Xenopus tropicalis: one gene and its partners. The protein of the gene in region 4 binds, or shares a complex with, the protein of the main gene of each other region. Links are inferred from orthologs where the notes say so. Each region holds a gene or a part of one and is shown on either strand. Other genes may lie near its edges. The genes, in order: tmem216, cc2d2a, tmem237, tmem67, tctn1, tmem17 and b9d2.

The links.
Region 1: tmem67 (region 4) and tmem216 share a complex: the UniProt entries of both Homo sapiens proteins name them as parts of the tectonic-like complex. The link is inferred for Xenopus tropicalis from reciprocal best matches to the Homo sapiens genes TMEM67 and TMEM216.
Region 2: tmem67 (region 4) and cc2d2a share a complex: the UniProt entries of both Homo sapiens proteins name them as parts of the tectonic-like complex. The link is inferred for Xenopus tropicalis from reciprocal best matches to the Homo sapiens genes TMEM67 and CC2D2A.
Region 3: tmem67 (region 4) and tmem237 share a complex: the UniProt entries of both Homo sapiens proteins name them as parts of the tectonic-like complex. The link is inferred for Xenopus tropicalis from reciprocal best matches to the Homo sapiens genes TMEM67 and TMEM237.
Region 5: tmem67 (region 4) and tctn1 share a complex: the UniProt entries of both Homo sapiens proteins name them as parts of the tectonic-like complex. The link is inferred for Xenopus tropicalis from reciprocal best matches to the Homo sapiens genes TMEM67 and TCTN1.
Region 6: tmem67 (region 4) and tmem17 share a complex: the UniProt entries of both Homo sapiens proteins name them as parts of the tectonic-like complex. The link is inferred for Xenopus tropicalis from reciprocal best matches to the Homo sapiens genes TMEM67 and TMEM17.
Region 7: tmem67 (region 4) and b9d2 share a complex: the UniProt entries of both Homo sapiens proteins name them as parts of the tectonic-like complex. The link is inferred for Xenopus tropicalis from reciprocal best matches to the Homo sapiens genes TMEM67 and B9D2.

The regions. Positions count from the first base shown.
Region 1 is NC_030678.2:178,906,042-178,910,013, reverse strand, and holds the start of tmem216 (transmembrane protein 216), read right to left. Parts: upstream 2,801-3,972; 5' UTR 2,725-2,800; coding exon 2,712-2,724; intron 1,223-2,711; coding exon 1,206-1,222; intron 1-1,205. UniProt on the Homo sapiens protein: Part of the tectonic-like complex which is required for tissue-specific ciliogenesis and may regulate ciliary membrane composition.
Region 2 is NC_030677.2:27,906,383-27,909,882, reverse strand, and holds part of cc2d2a (coiled-coil and C2 domain-containing protein 2A), read right to left. Parts: intron 3,206-3,500; coding exon 3,116-3,205; intron 1,575-3,115; coding exon 1,461-1,574; intron 846-1,460; coding exon 711-845; intron 1-710. UniProt on the Homo sapiens protein: Component of the tectonic-like complex, a complex localized at the transition zone of primary cilia and acting as a barrier that prevents diffusion of transmembrane proteins between the cilia and plasma membranes.
Region 3 is NC_030685.2:53,781,285-53,785,518, reverse strand, and holds the start of tmem237 (transmembrane protein 237), read right to left. Parts: upstream 2,801-4,234; 5' UTR 2,750-2,800; coding exon 2,735-2,749; intron 2,725-2,734; exon of another isoform or gene 2,682-2,724; coding exon of another isoform or gene 2,643-2,681; intron 2,608-2,642; exon of another isoform or gene 2,318-2,607; coding exon of another isoform or gene 2,297-2,317; intron 1-2,296. UniProt on the Homo sapiens protein: Component of the transition zone in primary cilia. Required for ciliogenesis.
Region 4 is NC_030682.2:127,764,419-127,767,823, reverse strand, and holds the end of tmem67 (meckelin), read right to left. Parts: intron 3,083-3,405; coding exon 2,940-3,082; intron 2,273-2,939; coding exon 2,192-2,272; 3' UTR 501-2,191; downstream 1-500. UniProt on the Homo sapiens protein: Required for ciliary structure and function. Part of the tectonic-like complex which is required for tissue-specific ciliogenesis and may regulate ciliary membrane composition.
Region 5 is NC_030677.2:162,883,889-162,887,922, forward strand, and holds the start of tctn1 (tectonic-1 precursor), read left to right. Parts: upstream 1-1,234; 5' UTR 1,235-1,277; coding exon 1,278-1,542; intron 1,543-2,008; coding exon 2,009-2,338; intron 2,339-4,034. UniProt on the Homo sapiens protein: Component of the tectonic-like complex, a complex localized at the transition zone of primary cilia and acting as a barrier that prevents diffusion of transmembrane proteins between the cilia and plasma membranes.
Region 6 is NC_030677.2:166,777,927-166,780,428, reverse strand, and holds the end of tmem17 (transmembrane protein 17B), read right to left. Parts: intron 1,639-2,502; coding exon 1,315-1,638; 3' UTR 504-1,314; downstream 1-503. Other genes in the region: complex III assembly factor LYRM7, read left to right, coding at 433-503. UniProt on the Homo sapiens protein: Transmembrane component of the tectonic-like complex, a complex localized at the transition zone of primary cilia and acting as a barrier that prevents diffusion of transmembrane proteins between the cilia and plasma membranes.
Region 7 is NC_030684.2:79,325,656-79,329,629, forward strand, and holds the start of b9d2 (B9 domain-containing protein 2), read right to left. Parts: upstream 2,801-3,974; 5' UTR 2,730-2,800; coding exon 2,684-2,729; intron 1,915-2,683; coding exon 1,825-1,914; intron 1,105-1,824; coding exon 979-1,104; intron 803-978; coding exon 486-802; 3' UTR 1-485. UniProt on the Homo sapiens protein: Component of the tectonic-like complex, a complex localized at the transition zone of primary cilia and acting as a barrier that prevents diffusion of transmembrane proteins between the cilia and plasma membranes.

The DNA of each region.
Region 1 (3,972 bases), on a different chromosome or scaffold from region 4:
ATCCCACTCTGAGTATCACTCATGTATTATAGGGATACTGTACCCCCTACTGTAAATGATAAGGATATTAGCAGTCACTGAGGGGTTCTGTGCCCCCCATATAAAGGCACAAGGCTGCAGGCTGAGTTATACAGGGAACTCTGAGTATCACTCATGTATTATAAGGGATACTGTACCCCCTACTGTAAATGATAAGGATATTAGCAGTCACTGAGGGGTTCTGTGCCCCCCATATAAAGGCACAAGGCTGCAGGCTGAGTTATACAGGGAACTCTGAGTATCACTCATGTATTATAGGGATACTGTACCCCCTACTGTAAATGATAAGGATATTAGCAGTCACTGAGGGGTTCTGTGCCCCCCATATAAAGGCACAAGGCTGCAGGCTGAGTTATACAGGGAACTCTGAGTATCACTCATGTATTATAAGGGATAATGTACCCCCTACTGTAAATGATAAGGATATTAGCAGTCACTGAGGGGTTCTGTGCCCCCCATATAAAGGCACAAGGCTGCAGGCTGAGTTATACAGGGAACTCTGAGTATCACTCATGTATTATAAGGGATAATGTACCCCCTACTGTAAATGATAAGGATATTAGCAGTCACTGAGGGGTTCTGTGCCCCCCATATAAAGGCACAAGGCTGCAGGCTGAGTTATACAGGGAACTCTGAGTATCACTCATGTATTATAAGGGATAATGTACCCCCTACTGTAAATGATAAGGATATTAGCAGTCACTGAGGGGTTCTGTGCCCATATAAAGGCACAAGGCTGCAGGCTGAGTTATACAGGGAACTCTGAGTATCACTCATGTATTATAAGGGATAATGTACCCCCTACTGTAAATGATAAGGATATTAGCAGTCACTGAGGGGTTCTGTGCCCCCCATATAAAGGCACAAGGCTGCAGGCTGAGTTATACAGGGAACTCTGAGTATCACTCATGTATTATAAGGGATAATGTACCCCCTACTGTAAATGATAAGGATATTAGCAGTCACTGAGGGGTTCTGTGCCCCCCATATAAAGGCACAAGGCTGCAGGCTGAGTTATACAGGGAACTCTGAGTATCACTCATGTATTATAAGGGGTAATGTACCCCCATGAATTGTTAAAGGAATATAAGAAGCAGTGGGCGGGGCCAGGCTATACCTGTACAGGTGACTTGGTACCGTCTCACCTATGTAAGTGCCAAGGATACAACTCCGCGCCTTCTCCCTGGGAAGCAAACGCACAGTTAGGGGGCAGCACAAGTCACATGATACCAAGCAGAAGACCCAGTGGGGGCCGGGGGCCCCTCCCAGCACTCAGAGCAGCCATGTTTGGTCTCCCCCTGTAGGTGCCCATAATATACCCACATACCTGCCCGTAATATACCCACCCGCCTGCCCGTAATATATCCACCCGCCTGCCCGTAATATACCCACCCGCCTGCCCGTAATATTCCCACCCGCCTGCCCGTAATATACCCACCTGCCTGCCCGTAATATACCCACCTGCCCGTAATATACCCACCTGCCTGCCCATAATATACCCACCCGCCTGCCCGTAATATTCCCACCCGCCTGCCCGTAATATACCCACCCGCCTGCCCATAATATACCCACCCGCCTGCCCGTAATATTCCCACCCGCCTGCCCGTAATATACCCACCCGCCTGCCCATAATATACCCACATACCTGCCCGTAATATACCCACCCGCCTGCCCGTAATATACCCACCCGCCTGCCCGTAATATACCCACCCGCCTGCCCTCAATATACCCACCCGCCTGCCCGTAATATACCCACCGCTGCCCGTAATATTCCCACCCCCTGCCCGTAATATTACCCACCCGCCTGCCCGTAATATACCCACCCGCCTGCCCGTAATATACCCCAACCCGCCTGCCCGTAATATACCCACATACCTGCCCGTAATATACCCACCCGCCTGCCCGTAATATACCCACCCGCCTGCCCGTAATATACCCACCTGCCTGCCCGTAATATACCCACATACCTGCCCGTAATATACCCACCCGCCTGCCCGTAATATACCCACCCGCCTGCCCGTAATATACCCACATACCTGCCCGTAATATACCAACCCGCCTGCCCGTAATATACCCACCCGCCTGCCCGTAATATACCCACCCGCCTGCCGTAATATACCCACATACCTGCCCGTAATATACCCACCCGCCTGCCCGTAATATTCCCACCCGCCTGCCCGTAATATACCCACCCGCCTGCCCGTAATATACCCACCCGCCTGCCCGTAATATACCCACATACCTGCCCGTAATATACCCACCCGCCTGCCCGTAATATACCCACCTGCCCATAATATACCCACCTGCCCATAATATACCCACTTACCTGCCCATAATATACCCACCTGCCCATAATATACCCACCTGCCCGGGGAATGTGCGCTATTGTGGGTAACAGGGAGAAGTCGCTGCTTCTCTGGGGATGCCGGGAATTGTGGTCTAACAGCCCCCCCCCCCCCCCCCCAGTTGTAGTTGCACACTAGCGGTGCGGGTCCCTATGCAGCAGGTAAGGGGACAGCGTAGCGGCATCGGGTGCAGGGGATGCTGGGAGTTGTAGTCCCGCTGATCAGCTGCACCTCTTGCATAGGGGACACAGTAGCCCCACGCTTACAGGCGCCATTACAGGGAGCAGGGGGGCCGCTCTTCCATCCGCTGCTTCGCCTCCCGCTTACCTTTGGGCGCCATCTTGCTGCTCTAAGGACGCCTGTGACGTCACTCCCTGGAAACCTCCGCAACACGTGACCCCCTGAGCCGCCTGTGCGCCGCGGGGTCCTAGCGCCTTCCCCCCTAACATTCAGGGCCACTAAATAACTGGGACTGGCTGGGCTTCTGGGAACTGTTCAATGGAGAGTGTACCTGCAGCCAAATTAGATTGCTAGCTCCTCTGCCCAGGGAGACAGTAGGGCAAGATGGAGACAGTAGGGCAAGATGGGGACAGTAGGGCAAGATGGGGACAGTAGGGCAAGATGGGGACAGTAGGGCAAGATGGAGACAGTAGGGCAAGATGGGGACAGTAGGGCAAGATGGGGACAGTAGGGCAAGATGGGGACAGTAGGGCAAGATGGAGACAGTAGGGCAAGATGGGGACAGTAGGGCAAGATGGAGACAGTAGGGCAAGATGGAGACAGTAGGGCAAGATGGAGACAGTAGGGCAAGATGGAGACAACCCTTTATAACACTGAAGAGGTTATTCCAAACACAAGAGGCAGTATGAGCACTAATGACTGCACGGGGGGCAGTAGAGGAGCGAGGGTGGGAGAGTTGGGGGCCGATGCTGCTGTCTCTCAGTAGTGATGCGCAGTCGTTATTAATTGGGGCTGAGATGCGAGACCCTCGCTTCAAGAGCCGGATGTTCCCACCCACGGTTTCCTCGTCTCACTGCTACTCACCTAATTATGTTACTCACAGTTACTTCATTATAGAACCCATAGCCCAATAAAGGGTCAACTTCCCCTTTATATTTACTTTTAGTAACACATGGGCGGAGTTACAGGTCACTGATCCCCACCGTGATCCCCACCCTTTTCCCACCCTGTTTCCTTCTTGATCCCCACCTTGATCCCCACCCTGATCCCCACCCTTTTCCCACCCTGATCCCACCATTTTCCCACCCTGATCCCCACCCTTTTCCCACCCTGTTTCCTTCTTGATCCCCACCTTGATCCTCACCCTGATCCCACCCTTTTCCCACCCTGATCCCCACCTTGATCCCACCCTGATCCCACCCTTTTTCCACCCTGATCCCACCATTTTCCCACCCTGATCCCCACCCTTTTCCCACCCTGTTTCCTTCTTGATCCCCACCTTGATCCCCACCTTGATCCCACCCTGATCCCACCCTTTTTCCACCCTGATCCCCACCCTTTTCCCACCCTGATCCCCACCCTTTTCCCACCCTGATCCCCACCCTTTTCCCACCCTGTTTCCTTCTTG
Region 2 (3,500 bases), on a different chromosome or scaffold from region 4:
AATCTCCCCGAAATGCTATCCCACCGGCGAAAATGTAAATCGCCGGTTGGATAGCATACGCGGTGGTTGCCTTGAGAGGCAGTACACCTTGCGTATGCCATCCCGCAGGTGATTTACATTTTCGACGGTGGGATGGCATTTCGGGGAGATTAGTCACCCGCGAACAGGGAGATTTGTCCCGGGCGACTAATCTCCCCGTGTGCCAGAGCCCTAACAGGATGTTCACTTTCTTTATCTGTATGGTGTAGGCATTTATATTCAAGACAATCTGCAGCTGGTTTTTATGTTATCCCTGTTGTGCATTTTTAATTATTTAGCATTTTGTTCAGCAGCTCTCTAGTTTGGAATTTAGCAGCTACCTTGTTGCTAGGTCTAGTGGACCCTGGCAACCAGGCAGTGGTTTAAACGAGTCTCAGAAATATGAATAGGATGGGGCCTGAATAGAAAGGAATAGAAAGTAATAACAAGAATACAGGGAGAAACTATGTAGCCTTACAGAGCAACAGCTTTTAAGCTGCCGGGGTCTGTGACCTCCCTACCTGACAGATGAAAAATGAAGAAAAATGAAGACCAATTAAAAAGATTCTAAGAATAGGGCATTCTATAAATGTTACCAATCAGGGTGTCACACCCATCAGGCATTCCAAAATGGCAGCTGACAGACTATGGCAGGCAATAGAAAACACAAGCCCAAGGATCTAGGTACTTACATTATCAGCATTAATCAGACACCCAACACTTTGTAGTGGGCAAAATGTGTCATACTGGCCATAAAACCTTCCAGTGCTCGGGTTCCATATGATGTACTGGTTCTGTTCCAATGTCAGCACATATGTAGTTGGTCCCTAAAATAAATGAATAGAATCATCTCTTAGGACATTCAGGGAGCTGGCAGCATAGCTATATAAACTGGGAAGAACAAAGAAATGGAGGATTTCACAATCACTATCCAGCATATACCCAGGTCACTAAGTGGCAATGCCCCCATGAGATATACTATGGGGCATAATGGTTCTGTTAATCTGGGCTTTACGTTATCACTTATTCATATTTCCCAAAATTCTCGGCAGAGGAGCCCCCTAGGAATATCGCAACTTACATTCCCATAGTTCAAAAGTGATTGGCTCCTTAAGTGATTATAGGGCTAATTGCTCAAACACAGCTGCCCAAGTTTCTCAGTGGTATGTCCCTTTGGAAGCTGAACCCTTGGGCCTGGTTCCATAGGAGGCCAGTGATCACCTATCTGAGCACAATTAGATGCCAGCAGAACCGTGCCCATCTAAGGAAGCAGATAAAGCCAGAAATCAATTGCTAGGCTCCGGTTAGAGTGCTAAACAGGCACAAACACCTAATTGTCTCCTTGTTACAGAACATAACACTGCTGTTTCTGCGCCAGAGGAGGGCCCAACCCATACAGCACAGAGTGAAACCAATTGCATGGCGGAAGGACTGGCTCTCACCTCAGGGACTGCGTTTCCGATCAGGAGCCATGCCTTCTTCCCCATGGCCAGAAAGTAATTGCACAACAGGACAGCGTGTTCCTCTTCGTCCCCAGCCAGGAGATCAAGGAATTGCTGAATAAAAGAAAGGGACACAGTAAGAGATATGAGCAGCACATTCTGTGCAAGGCTAGCCTGGATACAGCGGCTACACACCATTACATTATCATGGGAATACAAGTCAGTTAGTGGCCAGGTATTATGCCCCAAATGTCTAAAAGCACCCAATAAGATTCCTCTCTTTCCATAAATGTGACTGGCTACTATCGTTATACTAGCATATCATCCAACATTCACCATTGAAAAATGGTTTAAGGCTATGCTACAAAACTAACCATGCACGCCCAATCTGCTAAATCCCTGCCTAGGTTACTAAACACAGCTTGAGTTTTTGGAAAAGTAAAGATAATTTAAACTAACTTCACAATATACATCAATTAAAAACTATGCAGTCTTTTCATGACTTTTAATATAATGATATGCTTTGGAACAGTTCCCTAAGCCCCACCCCCTGTTCCCCTGCTGATCTGGCTGACTATTTTGAGACTCAAATAAAATGTAACAGTAGTCGCCTCCCCTCAGCCTGCCTTCAGCCTGCATCCTCCCAATCCCACAATTCCCTACAAATGTGATGTCAGTAAAAGAAGGAACATCCCAGTGCAATGCATTGTGGGTTATGTAGTTCCGGCATGCTGTCTCTAAGCTGCAGAGAAGTTGTTACAATTTGTAACATCAATGTTTTAGTCCCTTCTCCCCTGCCAGGATTTAAAATGATGCAGAAAGAGAAAACTGCAGCTGGATTTCAGCATATAAAAATTATATTTAATCATAATCTTTGGCAGAACAGATTACAGTGATAGTTATATTAGGGGTTTCTGTGTTGTGTGGGGCTCTTTGGTTGGGAATCCAGAGTTCCCCTTTAAGCCTGATCTCTTAAAGCCATTAACAAAAAGGTAATATTTCCATATAGATTGTAAGCTCTACGGGGCAGGGACCTCCATCTTTTTGTGTCTTTGACTATTAATTATATATTGTATTTATCTTTATTTATTGTTATACTTTGTATTTATCTATTATTATCTTAATAACCCCGTTTGTATAAATGTATTCTACTGTACAGCTCTGCGTACATAAGTAGCGCTTTATAAATAAAGATATACACTTAGATTGTAAGCTCCATGGGGTAGGGACCTCCTTCCTACTGTTTCTCATACCACATGGCACTTATATATATATATATATATATATATTTATTGTATTTATTTATTATAACACTTGGCCTCCCTTTGTGTAATTGTGTATATTGTAAGATTGTACAGTGCTGCGTACCCTTGTGGCGCTTTATAAATAAAGTTATACATACATACATACATACATACATAAATAAATACAGAAACCTGATATTTTTATCTGTAATGTCTGTAACTAACCAGCAGGTGGAACCTGTGTCCCACCAGTGTCCTCAGCATTCTCATTTTCATTGCTATCTGAGTTTCTTAAAGGCATACTATCATGACTTTGACCTTGAAGTATCTTGGTGAACAGGCAGCCATCTCAGTTCATCACACACACAGGTAGGGGACAGCCATAACAGGGCGGGGCAGGTCGTTACTTACATCTGCTGTACTCCATAGGTTGCAGATTCCAGCAAACGATACATTGTCTGGCAGGAATGGGATAAGAGAAACATAGTGCGCCACCAATTCCTGAGGGGAGAAAACAGAAAACTGAAATGAGTTTAATAAAATCTGTGCACGGGACAAACGGTTTCTATAAACGCTAATGATGTACAACCTGTGCCTTACTGGATTAAACAGCAAATTGGAACGAGACTGAACAGATCTGGTAAAAACAGATCCAACCCTAATGGGGTTATGTTACAAAAGGTTCAAAGCTTGTTCTAGGTCTAATCACCTATAGCAAAAAATCAGCAGCTAGCATTTACTGATCACCCGGGCCCAAACTGGTCACCTCGGCCCAAGACCTGATGCAACACACGAA
Region 3 (4,234 bases), on a different chromosome or scaffold from region 4:
TCATTTCAACAATTCTGCAAAAAGCTAACAGAATTTTCCAGAATTTCAGGAGAAGTTTAACATATGTGATAAAAATCTAGCTGCTATGAAAACACCAGGGAATTTTTAGGATCGCCTAATTAGTTGGTTGGTTTCTTCCAACTAATTATCCAAGATTTTTTCAGACATGTTGTCACCACGTGGATAACCAAATGTCCCATGTGCCATCAGCCTTAAACTCTGCAAAGCCAAGGAAGCAGCCCTACTGACCACCCTCCTAGAAGTTTTTTTTTAAAATCTGTCACTCTCTCAGTGAGTTCAATGAGCAAATACAGGTATAGGACACGTTATCCAGAAATCAGTTATCCAAAAAGCTCCAAATAGCAGGAAGGTCATCTCCCAAAGAGTCCATTATAATCAAATAATTAATTTTTTTAAAAATGAATTTCTTTTTCTCTTTAATAATATAACAGTACCTTGTACTTGATCATAACCGAGTTGCATGAATCCACATTGGTGCCAGAACAATTCTATTGGGTTTATTTAATATTTAAATTGTTAGCAGATGTTAGATGTTATGGCAGGGAAGTCATGCAAGAAATGCAATTTTCAGAAAACACTAAAAACGTTAAAAAATAAAACCAGAAATATTTTGGAAAAAGTAATTCTTTGATGTACTTTGTGAAAAACAATGGGAAATGTAATAAAACACTCAAAGTTTGCTACTAGTTTAATCAACCAATCAGCATTTACAGGTCATCCTGGCAAACTTTGTCCCTTTTATTATATATTTGGCCAATAAGATTTGTTAGAGTGAATTTTTAGATGGGGCCAAACTGAAAGAGATGAAAAATTCCCTCTGGGTAAAAAAGGCCTGTGTGACCCTAAGTGGTAGTTCACCTTTAAGTTAACTTTTAGGGGCTGATTTACTAACCCACGAATCCGACCCGAATTGGAAAAGTTCCGACTTGAAAACGAACATTTTGCGACTTTTTCGTATGTTTTGCGATTTTTTCGGCGTCTTTACGAATTTTTCGTTACCAATACGATTTTTGCGTAAAAACGCGAGTTTTTCGTAGCCTTTACGAAAGTTGCGTAAAATCTTGCGATTTTTCCGTAGCGTTAAAACTTGTGCAAAAAGTTGCGCTTTTTTTGTAGCGTTAAAACTTACGCGAAACTTCGCACCTTTTAAGTTTTACCGCTACGAAAAAGGCGCAACTTTTCGCGTAAGTTTTAACGCTACGGAAAAAGCGCAAGATTTTACGCAACTTTCGTAAAGGCTACGAAAAACTCGCGTTTTTACGCAAAAATCGTATTGGTAACGAAAAATTCGTAAAGACGCCGAAAAAATCGCAAAAAATACGAAAAAATCGCAAAATACCGATCTTTACGAAAAAAACGCAATCGGACTCATTTCGACCCGTTCGTGGGTTAGTAAATGTGCCCCTTAGTATTTTACAGAACATACTATTCTTGGCAACTTTGCATTTGGTCTTCATTATTATTATTATTTTACTTATTTGCCTTCCTCTTTTACATCTTTCCAGCTGTCAAATAGGGGTCACTGATCCCTGCAGCCAAAAATAAATTGGCCTTTACATCTCTTACATCTTTTTTATTGTGGTTACTTTTTATTCCATATCTTTCTGTTCAGGCCCCCCTTCTAATTAGTATATGCTAATTAGGATTCGGCAGAATCCGTCAGGGTGGGTTTGGGGGAACCCAAAAAAGTGGGTTCGGCGCATCCCTAACTTATATTCAAGGGGGTGGGGGGGACGCACCAGGGCAGGGGGCCTGGTGCGTTTGCTACTCTGCGCTGGGCCCTTTGAAGTTTCTTTTTTTTACAGGGTGGCCCAGTGCAGTGTAGTTATGCCACTGATTCATATTCAAGGCTCTCATTCAAACCCCTGTCTGGTTGCTAAGGTAAATAAAACCCTAGCAACCACATAGCTGCTGAAATTCCAAGATGGAGAGCTGCTGTACAAATAAAAATGAAAACCAACTGCCACAATTACCAATCTTACAATATCAATGTCTACATTAAACAGAGAGTTAAAGTTAAATAACATCAATAAATAACTGAATATGAACTTTACTGCTTTAATAAAAATCAGTATTCTTATATTGAACTTTATAGTACATTTCTATTTATAAATTAGATGGTAACAATGAACTGGTACAATCACATAAAAATCACTAACTTAATATCAAATTCACATGAAATTATGAAGGCTTGCATCCATCAGATAGTAAGAATGTTCTATAAGGTTCTCATCTGCCAAATAACATTCCTTTCCTAAAGCATTAAGGTACTTACCACTTGCTTCTTCCCCATCATCAAAAGTCAGTGCACATACAGGCAGATACTAGGCAGTTCCTTTACACAACACATAGATCCTCTTATTCCTTACACAAAAATAATCTGTAGATAAACTCTGGGATTACAAAGGTTAGAACCTTCTGCCCTTCAGCTACAGGTCAGTGCTTTTATACGCCCACGTGAATTAATCCCTAAACCCTTTATTTTCCTACATGTAGGCACATTTCCCTACCGAACCATACCATTTTAACTGCATATATATCCCCCCCACCTTTGCCAAAGCAAACATATTTTCATATTTAAAACAAAGAGCAGCTTTCAGCTGGCGGCCATTTTCACCAACCTCATCATCAGTGATGCTTACATGTGCAGAGTCCCTCATTCCCTGAAAAGTTTATGCAAACAAGAATGTAGTGTTACACAGGCAGAACTTACTTTTACGCTGTCCATTTTAGGACATATATGTGCTTAATGGATAAGCTCCATGCTCCCTGAGGTCGGGCAAAAGAATGTTTCTGGAGCAGGGAAGGCTACCGAAGAGTTTCCATGGAAACACAGAATGCTATCTCTTTATTGGCTGCCAGACTGGAAGGGGCGCGTTTAAAAAGCCAAGTAGCTCTGATTCACTGCCTTTCACTGAGCTCTAGCTTTGAAGTGCGCATGCGTTTGTAGCACTAAGGGAGGGGCCGAGTGGCTTGGGGTGAGGAAGTGAGGGCGTGCGGCAGCCTTATTATTAAATATTTGTTTCTGTAAAGCTGTATGTTTGCGTAATTGCTATCACAGTTCTTTCCTTAGCAGCTAGGGTTGGGGTAATGGTGCAAGTTGATATTTGTCTCCAATGGTTCAATCTGCACAACCACGGGCGACAAATCTCCCAGAATTGGCTTGCCATAGTATCGGGATCGGACTGATGGACCGCCCAAAGAGAGGGGAAATTGCCTCTATTTGCATAAACTTAATGGCTGCAAGTAATATGTTAAGGCAAGTCATTTTGGGGAGATTTGTCATGTACAGTAGCACAGGCTGGCCTTATGCTTTTATATGGGTCATGGAACTCTGGCCTGGGAATTTCCAATACACAGAGGCCCAAACAACCCCCACCAGCCCACAAAAATAGTGACCATCTTACACAAAGCTATCAATCCTCCCATTTGTTCTGGAGTAACCAGATTGTGGTGGCTCTCTCCTGGTCTCCTATTCGCCTTGTCCCCCCAGCCATCCCCCAATATTCTCCTGATTCTGCCCAAATATACCGAAGTCCGGTGGCGAATACTGGGCGTGCATGTACAGTAATTGTTTGGTGACATCATTTGATGCATGTGTGCAGGTAGAATTTTTTGGCTTCGCCGGGGATTTTGTGCATGTGTGTGATGTCACTTCCAGAAGTCTGTCGCACATGTGACGTTATTTCCACGTTTTGGGAACAAAAAATTGCAGCCCCCCACGGACTGCACCCGTCAAAAGTTGACAGCTCTGCTTATAGCAGCCCCTCTGGCATTTTCAGAATCTACAGGTTGCCAGTGTGAATCTAATATTCTCATATTTTACAACAAGGGGGGAGGTACATTATTCCTTATATCACCAGCATATTACACATTTACTGGAATTACAGGTACATTTAAAATAATGGACCAGTCTTGGCAGTTTTTTTTTTTTTGTACAGCACAACTGAATATACTAACGTTTTATAAACACTAGTTAATAATGATACTTAATGGCTGGTAAGGCCTTAGCTTAAGACTGCAGTGCTTTTTTTGGCACCAGTTAGAAGAACTAATGAGCTGGAAATAATACAGAGAGGTGCAACTAAATTGGTAAAAGCAATGGAACAATTGAATAATTGGAAACAACCAAAGGCCTCCTTTTAGACTTGAGAAACTGAAATTCACCTACAGTAGCACAAATGGTTCTTCACAGTAAGGGAAGCGAGGTTGT
Region 4 (3,405 bases):
CCTTTAAATATATCATAGACTGGCACCTCCTGACTTGGTTGTGATTATCGGGAAAGTATCTCCTGACCAAAGCACTGGTCTCACAAGCTTATCCAGTATATACCATAGCAGCTAATAGATTGTAAGCTCTTCAGGGTGGGAATTGTATTCCAAATGTGAACTAAAACTCCTAGCAGTTAAGTATTTATTTTCACTAATTTATAATAACTATATATATATATATATATATATATATATAACACTATATAAATATATATATAGCCCTGTCTGTGTTTATACTTTGTAAAGTGCTGCATACACACGTGGCCCTATATAAATACAGTACAATAGTGTACAACCCCGCCCTGTACTGGCAAATCATTTCTTTGCTTTGCTCTTCCTTCAACAAGACAACTGCCCTGAGCTTTTATAATAAAAAAAAAAAACAGTTGGTGCTGGTTTCTTCCATTCCCAACACATTTTCTCCACATTTCATGTAGAAGAAGAAGCCACACAACAGGTATCTGTACAAAATATTTAATTCACTTGAAAATACAAATGCATAAATACAAAATAATCTTGGCAGGAGAGGGTTTTATCAGATCAGTTTAAACTTCAGGGACACATCTAATAAATACATGTTGCAGGGCATTTTAATTAAACTGCAATTAGTTCTACCCTGCCAGCTGGATTTTCCAGAGTGCTCTTGAATTTTCAAGTGGCCTGGTCATCCTAGCTCAGAACGCCAATGTCCGACAATGTACATAATCTTGTAAATGCACTGAAGGAACTGCGGTGGCACCAGGCAGCAGAACAATAAAGTTATTAGTTTAAAGTTACTAAACTACATGAATTGTATCTTTCTGCCTTTCTGTGAATCTGTGCAAGTGGCCGCTGTAATCAATTGGTTGGCCCATAAAAGTATGTGGTGATGCACCACAGTTGATTACAGCAAGATATACAATAATAAAGTTTGCCTTTTTATATGTTTATAAAATCAAGTATACTGACAAGCCATGTCAGGTCTTACAAAGACTCTATGCTCCATGCCTATGGATATAGGATCACTAGATTAACCACCAGATGATCACAGCCTGATTAACCCCATATTATCCTGGAAAGGGAGGCAATTTTAGGATTTTAAACTAGTATGGGGCACTGTGGTATAACAAAGTAAACTGAACCTGTACTTCTATTGCCTATAGAAAGTATCCTTTCAGCTGTCATTCTGTTCTCTTTAGTCATTCCCAAATGGAATATAAAGGATGGCAGGCTGCAGGCACGGAGCCAGTAAATGACAGAGATCATTTAGATTATGGAACTTTATGGTATGTCTGTGGAAGGAAAGGAAAACAGATATTGGGACAAACACAAACTGAAAACTGAGCTTTAGGTTGAAAAATGCAATATCTCTGATTGGATCACAGCACTAAGTGTAATGCCTGCAGGCCATAATGTCCCGCATTGGAGCCTGCATAGGGGATGTGCAGCACTGAGCCCATGTAACACTGCTACTATGACTGAATACGTTATGTTTCAGTTCCGGTTAATACTCCTTTAAATGAATACGTCTGTGAGACAATGCCGTCTGTGTTTTAAGTACAGAAATATACAAAGTAAAAACAAGAAATATTTACAGGTCATTTTTCTACTCAGTAAGGGATATCCTGCCCCCTACAGTGTTATCTGAAGTGGTGTCCATTATTATTATAAAACTAGGCTGCAGCTCTCTAGCTGCTATGGTGAAACGACAACTTCTAAAACACCCAGGCAGCATTTAAGAACATCTTAAAATACTACACATACTGGGGCTAATTTACCAACACAGATTCTAACTTGCCCCGGTGCAGTAATCAACAGAAACAATGTTCTAATCAATCTACAAGTTTTATAAAATGCAGCAAATATCTGACTGGTTGCCACTGGTGAGTCCTACTGTGCCACAGCTGTAGACCTTGCCACCATGTTGGCTTACTATACATGCTGTCTCACACCTGCAGCACTTTAATAGACCTTCTTTACTGTCCCATTATAACCCATTAGGCCCAAAGGTGTAACTCATGTTCAGACCCCTTGCAAACAAGGCTCAGCATACCCACTCTTTGTACTGTGGCTGGAGTTAAAGATTGATACAAAAATACTTTAAATTCATATAATGTAAAAATACTGTCTTTGGAATGTCCCAGTCCAGCTGCTGATACACATTTTTTTCTCATATCAGGAACCTTTCATCAATCTGGGTTTTAGAGGCCAAGTTCTTCTTCCCCACTGCATTACAGAGCAGCCTGAATAACTGAATCAAAGGGAAAAACAAATAAGATTATGATAAAGGGATATTTAACGAGTTAACACACATGCCGATCCTAAAAAAACACAAAGTTTCCAACATGATAAATAAGCAAACATCTTTGTATTGCAGCATTTTACAAGCATTGCAGTAAAAAGAAAGGTGCACATATGTGTTAAAGGAGTTGTGCTTTTTGTTTTTTTGAGACAATTTGCAATTGGTACTTGATCCTAATTAAGATATAATGAATCCTTACTGGAGGCATAACAATACTGTTGGGTTTATTTAATGTTTGAATGATATTAATAGACTGAAGGTATTACAAAAATATCCCTTATGCAGAAAACCCCAGGTCCCAAGCATTCCCATACCTGTACTAAGATCATTGTTGGATAGGGCCCTTTGCCTGTGAGATCAGATGTGTTTTCAAACAGCTGACCAGTAAATGCAACCTGCTGTCTGGTTGCTATGGATTATTAGACAGTAGCAAACTTTGCACCTTTTATTACATAACTTAATTATAGGCTGAAATGTTCAAGTGAACCAATAGCCGCAGATTTGATATTTGTCTAAAATCCTGTAATGCACTCTATGCTGCTGTGTACCAGGTAGTTATGAACAATATGGGTAACAGTGTATCTCCCCGGCAGCTGCTGCAGTGACACCGACGTACCTCTTGCTGTAGGAATGTGAGGATGGCAGCCAGAACAAAGTTTTGTGAAGCAACGTCAACAACGCAGAAGAATAGGGTATCAAATATGAGGAGAGTAGATTCATTTCCATAAAAAAGAACATCAGTGAATGAATGATTCTCATCTGTGGAACAAAAATACAGAGTTGTACCTGAGTAAGGTTAGTAACAGGCAACTATACCAATCAGTTGCTTTTGTCTAGGGATTTTTGTCTCCCCATTACGATCCACCCTAGCTCCTTCCCCCCTTTTCTACTATTGTACCCTTTTTTTTTTTCTATCTCATTTCAGCTCTTTTCCCCATCCATTTATGCCCCTTATTCATCTGTGGCTCCTCTGCCCAAGTTCCACCAACTCCAGGGGCCTGGATGAGTTCTTGAACAAACATAGTATCCAAGGCTATTGTGATACTAATATCTACAGTTAGTATTGATGTTGGTATATATGG
Region 5 (4,034 bases), on a different chromosome or scaffold from region 4:
TCCTGCACTTAGTAAATCCTGTATCCTTTTTTGTTATAGCTCTGCCTACATGTATGATGTTATTCTCCTTCATTATACAAGTTTATAACAGAATATGCAAAGCAGTCAGTTAAGCCAGTAGGGTGATAATAATGCACTCCGTTGCACTCACACACTCTTCCCTGCAGTCAGTTGTGCATTAATCTCCACTTGCAGCAAAATGTGTTCTTTGCACTTCTGTGTAATTGGCTCGGCACCACTTGGCCTTTCCTGTCTTCCTTTCTAAATAGAGCACTGCTGCAACTAATGACACGGGAACCCTGGTTTCAGGCTTCCCTTCATGCCCAGCCGCAATAAGCGCAGCACACTTGCACCTCCAGATTCGGTCACAGTGGTCACTTGAATGCGGCAGACACTGGAAATTATGCCAGCTGGACTTCAGCTCAACTGCAGCCAATTTGCAATAAAATGCACACACATTTGCATTAATTTTGCTGAATCTAATGCAATTGCGTAATCACAATAGTTTTCCAAAAAATCTCCTTCCATTATACTGAATTTAAATGTCCACAGGAGTTGTTTACTTTTAAGTTAACTTTTATTATGTAATAGAATGGCCAGTTCTAATCAGCTTTTCGTTTGGTCTTCATTTTTTTTATATTTTATAGTTTTTAATTATTTGCCTCTGTCTTATAACTTTTTCCAACTCGAATGGGGGTCACTGACCCCAGCAGCCAAAAGCCTATTGCTCACTTATCATGCTATTCAGGGGTCTCTCCTATTTATCCTGGGGTAATTTGGACCCTAGCAACCAGATGCAGAAATTCCAAACAGGATTGCTGCTGAACAAAGAGCTAAGTAATTGAAAAACAAAGACCAATAGCAATTTTTCTCCGAAAATCACTCTCTACACCATACTGAAAGTTATTTTATAGGTAACCAACCCATTCAAATGACATCTCTGTGCATCATTGCTCTAGTGGTACATGTATTCCGTGCTGGCAACAGCAACAGAGATATCGTTTCCCTCATTGGTAATATGAAGCATATCATACTATATATAGTAATATAATAACATGGGTGTCCAGCATGAACCCCAAAGAAAACCAGGCAACGCAAATCACTACACTGCGAGAAGGCAATTTCCCTTAAAACCTAAGTTGCGAATCTTTCCGCTCCCAGGGTCTGGTCCATATGATTAATAGACAATACGTCACTTCCTGGATCCCGCAAGTCGCTAGGGTTGTTTACAGCAACTGTAGGCAGGCTGCCGCTATGTAAGCCTTTATGTATCCGCCATGAATTCCCTATGGAGCTGCAGCTTTGCGCTCTTTTGTTGTTGCGTGGTTTTGGGGACTTGCAGCCTCGCTACCGAGAGCCCTAAGGAGACTGCCCGCACCGAACCAACTGAGACCCAGGCCTGGGACAGTACGGGGGGTCCTCTGCTTCCTGACCATGTGACAGACAACCAGACCTCTGAGGGCAAAGCGGAGTCTCACTATAATGATAGCGATACCTTACCTGTGGCTACAAATACACCTGAGCCTCTGAGCCCAACCAAGAGTAGGTAGCATGGGGGGTTGGCTGCCTAAGCCTGGTTAAAGGGAATCACAAACTCTTTACCACTTATTGTATTGTTTAAATGTCATTTTTGTTAATGGAAAAAGGCAGTAGTCTAGTAGGAATGTACTAAATCCATATCAAAACCTGAGCCAAATCAGAACTCTAATTTGTATGAATATACGTTCAACCCATTATTACATGTTGCAAGGTTGTTTTTTTTTGACAATGGAAAAATGAAAAAATGTTTTACTCATATCAAATAGCTATATGTATATAAGTTCAGCCCTGCTTAAATTTTTCCTCTAGTTGTCTGTTTCAAAGTTACTTCAAAATATTCTCCTAGCTGCTACTGTTGGTTCAGTAATATTCATCCAGCATTTGGGGTTACCAGGTTATAGTTCTACATATTTGTGTGAGTAGGGCTATCAGCCTAATGTGACTGCTATTTTTGTCTTGCTTTATTAAGTTAACAGGGTGGTTTGTGTTTGTGACCTGCTGGTTGCCCACTGTGATGACAACTGTTGCTGCGATCCTGACTGCAATGCTGCAGATATTCGTGGATGCCTGGCCAATGAAATGCCTGCAGAGACAGCCTATACAGAACCACCTGAAATCCAGGTGTTGGAGGGTGCAGAGGAAGACGTCCCACCTGAAAACAACACAGACCATAGAGGAGTTGAGGATTCAGAAGTCATTGATATTGGAGTCATAGCTTCTCCAGGGGATGAGTTAACAAGAAGCTTTGGTTCTGCTGACCAACCTGGTGCTCGAGTTCTTCCCTCTCCAGTCACCAACAGTAAGTATAAATGAAAATCTTCATAGAAGTAAGTAACATGATGCACTACTGCGTCTGGCAATGCCCATTTAATTGATCCATTTCTCTAGTGATGGGAGCATTAAAACTACTTTCTATCATTACTGTAAATAATTGAAAATGTTAAAGCTTTTAAAGAGAACTAAACCCTACCCTATTCTCAGCCCCCTCCACCCCCTCCATTGCCCCCCTTCAAGCTACCTCCCCACAAGAGTTATTCTGTTAAGTTTTTCAGTGATTTCTTATTGCTAGGGTATTATTTACTCTAATAACCAGTCAGTGGTTTGACTAGGAGACTGGAAGATGAATAGGATAGGACCCGTTATCCAAAAAGCACCAAATTATGGGAAGGCTACCTCCCATAGACTCTATTTTAATCAAAAAAATTCAAATTTTTAAAAATAATTTCCTTTTCTCTGTAATAATCAAACAGTACCTTGTACTTGATCCCAACTAAGATATTAAAAGGGGTGTTTGCCTATGATATAGAGAGTAATATTCTGAGACAATTTGCAATTCATTTTTTATTATTTGTAGTTTTTTAGTTATTTCACTTTTTGTTCAGCAGCTCTACAGTTTGGAGTTTCAGCAGCTATCTGGTTGCTAGGGTCCAAATTACCTTTAACATACAAAACGTTTACTAAATAGTCAACCAACCCTTTACTAATCCTTACTGGAGTCAAAACAATTTTATTGGGTTTATGTAATGTTTAAATGATTTTTAGTAGACTTAAGGTATGGAGATCCAAATTATGGAAACACCCCTTATCCAGAAAAGCCCAGGTTCCGAGCATTCTGGTTGACAGGCCCATTCCTTTGTAAAGAACATTAATAAAAAGTAATAATAACAATAAAATAGTAAATTTGCAGAGCAATCATTTTAGGCTGCTGGGTTCAGTGACCCCCATTTGAAAGACTGCACGTATTTGCATGCAGATATTTGTATAGACTATCCACTTCAGCGTGAGTATAACTAAGATTAATCTTCTTTCTGAGTTAGAGTAAAGTAATTTTCCACAGAGGGATTTCAGGTGCCACCAGCCAATAAGTAGTCAGGAGGGACTGCACACACACGCAGTTCAGCATAAATCATTATAATGCTCAATCACCGTCTATACTCGAGTATAAGCCAATCCGAATATAAGCCGAGGTACCTAATTTTACCTAAGAAAACTGGAAAAACGTATTGACTCGAGTATAAGCCTAGGGAATGCAGCAGCTACTGTTAAGTTTTATCAAAATAAATACCAATAAAATTACATTAAATGAGGCATCAGTGGGGTATATGTTTTTAAATATTTATTTCAAATAAAAACTGTAAATTAGCTCTGTAAGTGGAGGGTCAACAAAAACAATTGTTTTATCAACAATGATACCTTAAGAGTACTCAGCAACCAAGCTAAAACACAAAGAGTTAAAATCCTTCAAAACTATATATAGTTTATATAGAATATAAAGTGAAATGTCTAGTGCAGAATGGGACAGGTAAGGATGGTAGATGAAGATAAATTTGGGAGCGGGCCACAAAGGACAGAGGGTGCTAGTTTGGAGGGACCCATGGCACCCGACTCGAGTATAAGCCGAGGGTGACTTTTTGAGCACATTTTTGGTGCTGAAAAACTAGGCTTCCAGTGTTTCCTCTCAGATTTTTTGAAAGGGCCATTGGTGTGGTGTCATT
Region 6 (2,502 bases), on a different chromosome or scaffold from region 4:
TTGCCTTTTTATATAAGTTACAAGGTCTACAAGCACTTCCAGCTACATTATATTTACTGAATTATACAAATGTCATGAATATCTATGAGAAACATAACCATCTACCTGCACAAGCCAGTCTCATATGGCACAAATAAGCTGAAAGATATAAATGAAATTATGTACTACAGTGTATTCAAATAAACATATGGCAGTGTAAAAAAGGCTGCAAAACTGGCCATTAAATCCAAACTTTATAAACCTTACTGTTAAGGCAGATATAGGTAAAAGGTTTAAAGGTTTCTCAAGGAGGGAGGAGGTATTTGGCAGAATATACAGTGGGACAATAGCTAGTTCTGGCAGTTTTGTTGCTCAGGGCTGATGAATTGTATTCAATTGTCTATGGTTGCATAATGCTCTGTGTCTTCACCTATCTTTATCTTTTTATTTCAGTGCTGCAAGCAAGGAAAGACCTTCTTTTAGATAATATACCATTTTGTGATGCACCGGAGAAGCAAACATGATTATATTTTTTTTTTATTGCAACAATATTGTACTCACCAAAAGTGGAAGGACATTTTCAAATAAAAGAAATGTGCCTGCATACTTGTGCAGCTAAATATGGCTTCTCATTCCATCATTTTGACCTTATTACCATGTCACAGAGAGTTTTTGTGTTAATATGAAAATAAATTTGTGGGGTTTTTTTTGTTAAACCTTGTTTTATCTTTATTGCCAATTGTATTGGCTTTTCATTTGGAAAACCTGTAAGCATATTTTATCTCCAGAGGCCAAAATTACTGTTGCCTCGCTGTAGGAATATGGTTTGCCTTTCTATGCTGTATTGTGGCTAAACTGAACCTGTGGTTGATGGTTTTTTTTTCTTTCGTGCTTATTAAACCCTAGTGTATCCTCACCTCCTTCTGCAATAGCTGTCCCACCCTTGGTTTGTTTACTTGCATAACTTAGCCTTAAGTGATTGGGGTTCCCTCCAAGTGGTGTGCTTGTGGCTAATCAGAACTTGTGGCTAATCAGAACTTGTGGCTAATCAGGTTTTTTTTCTCTCTCTCCCTCAACAAATCTCTAATTTCAGCCATTCTCTCCCTCTGTTATGTTTTGTCTTACACTTCCTTTTCTTTGTTTATCTGTTGCACTTTTTCTGGTTCCCTCTCTTTTTTGTCATTTTTGTCTTCATATCTCCATATTTTTCTGTGTACCAAATCCCTCCTCTGTGTTTAGCCTTTTCAAGTGCAAAGAACTCTGTAATTAGGAAATACAGATATTCAGCCTTAATTCCTGCTGGTTTGAAAACCAGAAACAGAATTTGCTTATACCTTAGTACATTAATGCATCACTCCCATATTGTTCTGCTATGCTGGTGGTGGTGTTCTGGAACCTTAGAAGAGTTCTATTAACTGGGACATGTTTGCTGACCAGAATCTCAGACTGTTGTAAGTAATATTCAAGAGCAAACTGTCTTGTCATGGTTTTAAGAACCAGGAAGGAAATTACTATCTCTGCATTAATAAACATCAGATAAATCATGTGAACTGCAAGATCCAAGGGCAAAAGTAAATTTCTGTTATCAGTCAAAAGGAATAAGAGCAGAGGCAACTGTATTAAAAGGGTCAGGATCAAAAAGCCAGCCAGTTCTGGAACCTGTCAAAAGACATAAAGTGCACTGTGATTAGTTTGTGACATGGTTTTCACATTGAAATTTGTTTCTTCTACTGTATTTAGTATCTGTGTTCTATAGCAAGGGTCCCCAAACTGTGATTAGTTATTTAGAAGCCCATATTTGGACTGGCAGCCTTCAGGAGGCTCTAAGCCAGAAATTAAAAAATAACTACCTGCTTTGAGACCACTGGGAGCAACATCCAAGGGATTGGTGAGCAACATGGTGCTCCTGAGCCACTGGTTGGGAATCACTGTTCTACAGGATCTTTTAAATGCCTTGTCATGGATAAATCAGAATCACAGGGCTTATGTTATGTGTGAGTAACTATCACCTAAAAATGTTTACATTACCTAGCAAACCTAGTAAATCTGGTGGTGGAGCTGGGGGTGATGAGGGGTTGAAAGTCGATGATGGATGGATGTGAGGTCACGCTCAGCCGTGCACGTGATGTCACTTCCGCCAGCTGGGGGGGAGGTCATTGTCTAGGGCCTAGGTAGGGTGGCAATGGACCTAAATACAGTGCTGACAATATGCTGAATGTATTTTTATTACATAGCCTATTTATTCTGCTCATGCTTAACAAAGGTGTACTACCCATTAGTTAAGGAGTTAATATTCAGTAGGAAAATATAGGGGTCTTTCACAATAGTATGGGCAGTGTGGAAGATTTATTGCGTGTGGCTAATTGCTTCCCCTTTGAATGCAGAGAAGACTGTGGTCGGCAGTGCTATTTTAGTGGGAGAGTGGCACTACACTGGACTGGGTTTCAAAATAGGCCCTAGTAGTTCAAGTACACAGAGGCCCAAACAGCCCCCACTAGCACAATAAATACTAACTGTAGTAAA
Region 7 (3,974 bases), on a different chromosome or scaffold from region 4:
ACTGATTTAAGATAATCGTCAAAAGAGCCTGAAAAGTATTTAAAAACAAAAACATTCAATTTACTTTATATATAAATGTATTCTGGTAAGTGATTGATGTGAATGAGGTATTATGAAAATGAAAGGAGAGAAAGGGAGTGTGCTTTATAACAGGGCTGAAAACAAAGCAAGGATAGTAAAAAAGTGATACAATGAGGAAAATGGCTAATATCAGAAGTAACAGACAATTTGGGAAAGTGTAAGAGATGTTAGTAGAAGGGGAGGAGGATAAATGTTACCAGATTATGGTACAGAAGAGATATGAAGTATCAGGTTTATTAAGAAGGGTTGAGAAAAGGGGCTCATTAAATACTGAGCAGGATTCTGTTTGAGGTGTTCACAAGTAATTCCATAAAATGTCTTGCTGATTATTTCAGTGCATATGTCCTTGGCACCAAAAATAATCATTTGGAAAACCAGGAACAAGTTCTTAGCACTCTGCAAAATCAAGAACACTCCACCCCGTATCGTTCAAAGTTCCTGAGTATGACCGTTAATTGGAGATGTACTTGCCCCATGGCCACTGTTTGCAGACGGTAGCGATCAGACCCTCCATAAATCAGGCTGGATGACTTAAGTTGTGGGCCGCCGCCAACAAACATCTGACATATTTGCTCCTGCCATGTTCCCAGGGGTCGCCAGGTTGGGCTAAGCAATGAGTGAGTACCAGGGGTGGAAGGGATGTGGAGGAAGCTGTAACCATAAAGTTCATTACGACCAAATGTGTCCTGATGCCAGACTTGAAGGTGAAGTTTTGGCCAACCTAAGTGGGGGAAATACAAGCATTTAAAGTACATAATGTACTTTGCACCTTTGGTAGGTAAAGTGTGTTCATTTGAATGGGTAGGGTTAGGGTTGGGAGCCTGTGCAGGGGCTCCAATGTGATTACAATAATTTTAACAGATTCTTTATTTTATTCTTTATTCTATCATACTTTACCTTGTAATCCTTTAGTAGCAAAGTGCATGTCAATAGGGTGAGACCAGAATGCCATGTCATCATTTTGTGGATGATCTACTTGTGTCTGGCCTTCCACAACCCCAGAAAGTAGCTTCCAGGCTCCACCTAAATGTTATGGTAGGGAACGATGTTATTACAAATAGAAATATCATATGGTTAATAATAGATAGAGCCACACCAGTATCTTATATATCAAGATTTTCTCAAAACATTAACATTTCCTTTAAGACTCTTTTATATTGTTTATGTAAAGTAAAGCCAAAAATGGGCTTTAAGTTATACAAACACAGCCTTCTCCTTCACTTCACATTACTAGAATAAATACAGGGGTCACCTGACGCATATATTTCTTCTTCACATCACAAACTTAAAAATATATTACAGGTATAGGACCCATTATTCAGAATGCTCGGGACCAAGGGTAATTTGGATCTCCATAGCTTAAATCTACTAAAGAATCAATAAAACATTAATTAAACCCTATGGGATTGTTTTGCATCCAATAAGGATTATTTATATCTTAGTTGGGATCAATTACAAGGTATTGTTTTATTACTACAGCGAAAAAGGAAATCTGTTTTAAAATTCTGAATTATTTGATTAAAATGGAGTCTATGGGAGACGGGCATTCCATAATTCAGAACTTTCTGGATAACGGGTTTCCGTATAAGGAATCCCATACCTGTACTAGAATAAAAGTGGGGCCAACTGAATGCATATACCACATTTTCAACAGCGTACAGCTCCACAAAAAAACAAAACTGTGTTTTTTTTATGTACAATTGATATATAGATCCATTTAAAATGCAAAATGATGACTCTTACCTGTGTGTACTCCCCATTTGCAAAACAGGCTGTGTTGGGGGAAGCCACTAGCCCCAATAATTTGCCCTATGATGTGAACCTCTGCCATTACTGTAGGAGGAAAGGTAAAATATATTTCAGTTACATCATTATTGTGAAGAAACTAAATTATAATTTTTATTAGAAGTAGGTCCAACAAACAATAACAGCTAGAAATTACACTTCTTATACCATCTGACGCCAATATAAATATACAAGCCTCAGTGACCAAGTTTTCCTTTTTTTCTTGGCTGTGTGTGCAAAAACTTTCTTTTGTGCCTACTTCCTAAACCTATTTGAGCACTTTTATAAAAACTATGCGCAAGTCTAAAAAAATTCTAAATTATGCCTTTACATACAAAATTCTTTTTGCGCACCACAATTTATTACAGTAAAACTTTATTTTTCATCCCTTACTTAGGTTTTTTTATTTTGTGGTCCCTCCAAAATATAATGATTAATACATTTCAAGGATATGACATCCCCCATTATTTTCTAGTGGCCTCAATAATGTAAAAGGGCGGTTCTAATGCATGTGCCCTGACATCGTAATTTAAATATCCACAAATGCATAGCTTAGAAGGAACATTAGTATTACATATACATTTTATTTATTACCTACTTTTAGCGCAGTGTTATTACTACGTATATTATTAGTATATGTAGCTAACCCCCAGCAATAAGCCCTGTAAGACGTGGCATGTCATAACCAAACTGTTCATTACACATCCAATAAAACCAATTTGAAAGCATAATTTTATTTGTCATTACCGCATAGTGTATTACATATGTAACTAACCAGGTCAATGACCAACATCAAGCAAAAAAAACCTACTTATACCTGCACAAGTTGGGCTGTAATGTAATTCATGAGTGTGGCTATTCATGTACAGTGAATTTCATAACTACATAGAACACTGACAGTGAAGGCACTATAGAATCAACAAATAGAATCCCTAAACTGAGGGCCCTACAGCTTACACTTACAGAATCAGCCAAGAGCCTCTGTTTGTCAACTATCAGCTGCTGGAAAACGTAATACCCCCATTACACTCCCTACACTGGCGCCATTGTGTGTGCTATGAGCATATAAATTACTGACGATACATATTTGGATGATGGTGCAAAATCATCAGGACTCCATACCGACAACCTGCGAATCATATCTACCTTTGCGTATATAACACCGCAGTAGGGTAAGATGTAAGCGCTTTACCAGTTTATTAGCTCTAAATATTTTTCGCCCTCTTTTACATCCCGCTATAAATGCTTCCCCTAACCGCACAACTGCAACATAAATCTCACCGGACCCCCTCTGAAAACCGGCTCCTTGTCTTAGCTTTTTGCCCCTTCTAATTCTCACTTTGGTAGACTCCGCCTGTTGCTGTGCAACCGTTGCATACAGCAGATCTGATTGGTTCACCGGCGGAAGTGACGTCTGTTGTAGGCGAAATGTGTAAACTGATCGAGACTGATAGTCTGTGGGAGACGAAGTATTGGGATTAAACGATAGCTATTAATACTGCAATCTGTGATTTATAATACAACATAGTGTAATGGAACGTTGCTTAAACAGATATAGGGCGTCGTGTCGTGTCGGGTTCTGAGGCATTACGTATACAAGAGACATATTAGCGTCCATTTAAAGTTCAGCAAGTTAGTGGCTGAGGGGGGTGTAATGAGAATTAGCATGGCCATGCTGAAAATGCGTTTGTCTGCTCCCACTTTGTAGTCACACCCCCAAATGTAAAGCCTTTAAACCAAAAAGAACCCAGCTTTTAAAATGCTGGAAACTTTGAATGGCAGCGTCAGACGAAACGCATTCACTTTTATGACAGACATAGTGGCCAAAATATTTAATTACATTTTAAAAGAAGTAGGGAGATACTTGGATACATGAACGCAGAAGAATTTATTTAGGATATCCCTATCTGAAAAGGTGTCGTTGATCCAATTCATGCAAGAAATACATTAGTATTTTTGTTATAAAAGATTGCTAAAGCTGCTTTACTGCAAGACAAGCTGGTAATGAGCCAATTTTTGCGGAACATATGCTGTTATTTTAGTGTCTTTAAAAGATCCTGTCTGTTGCTTCACAAGATAACTGTTTGCCCCATTTTACCCCTTTCTCA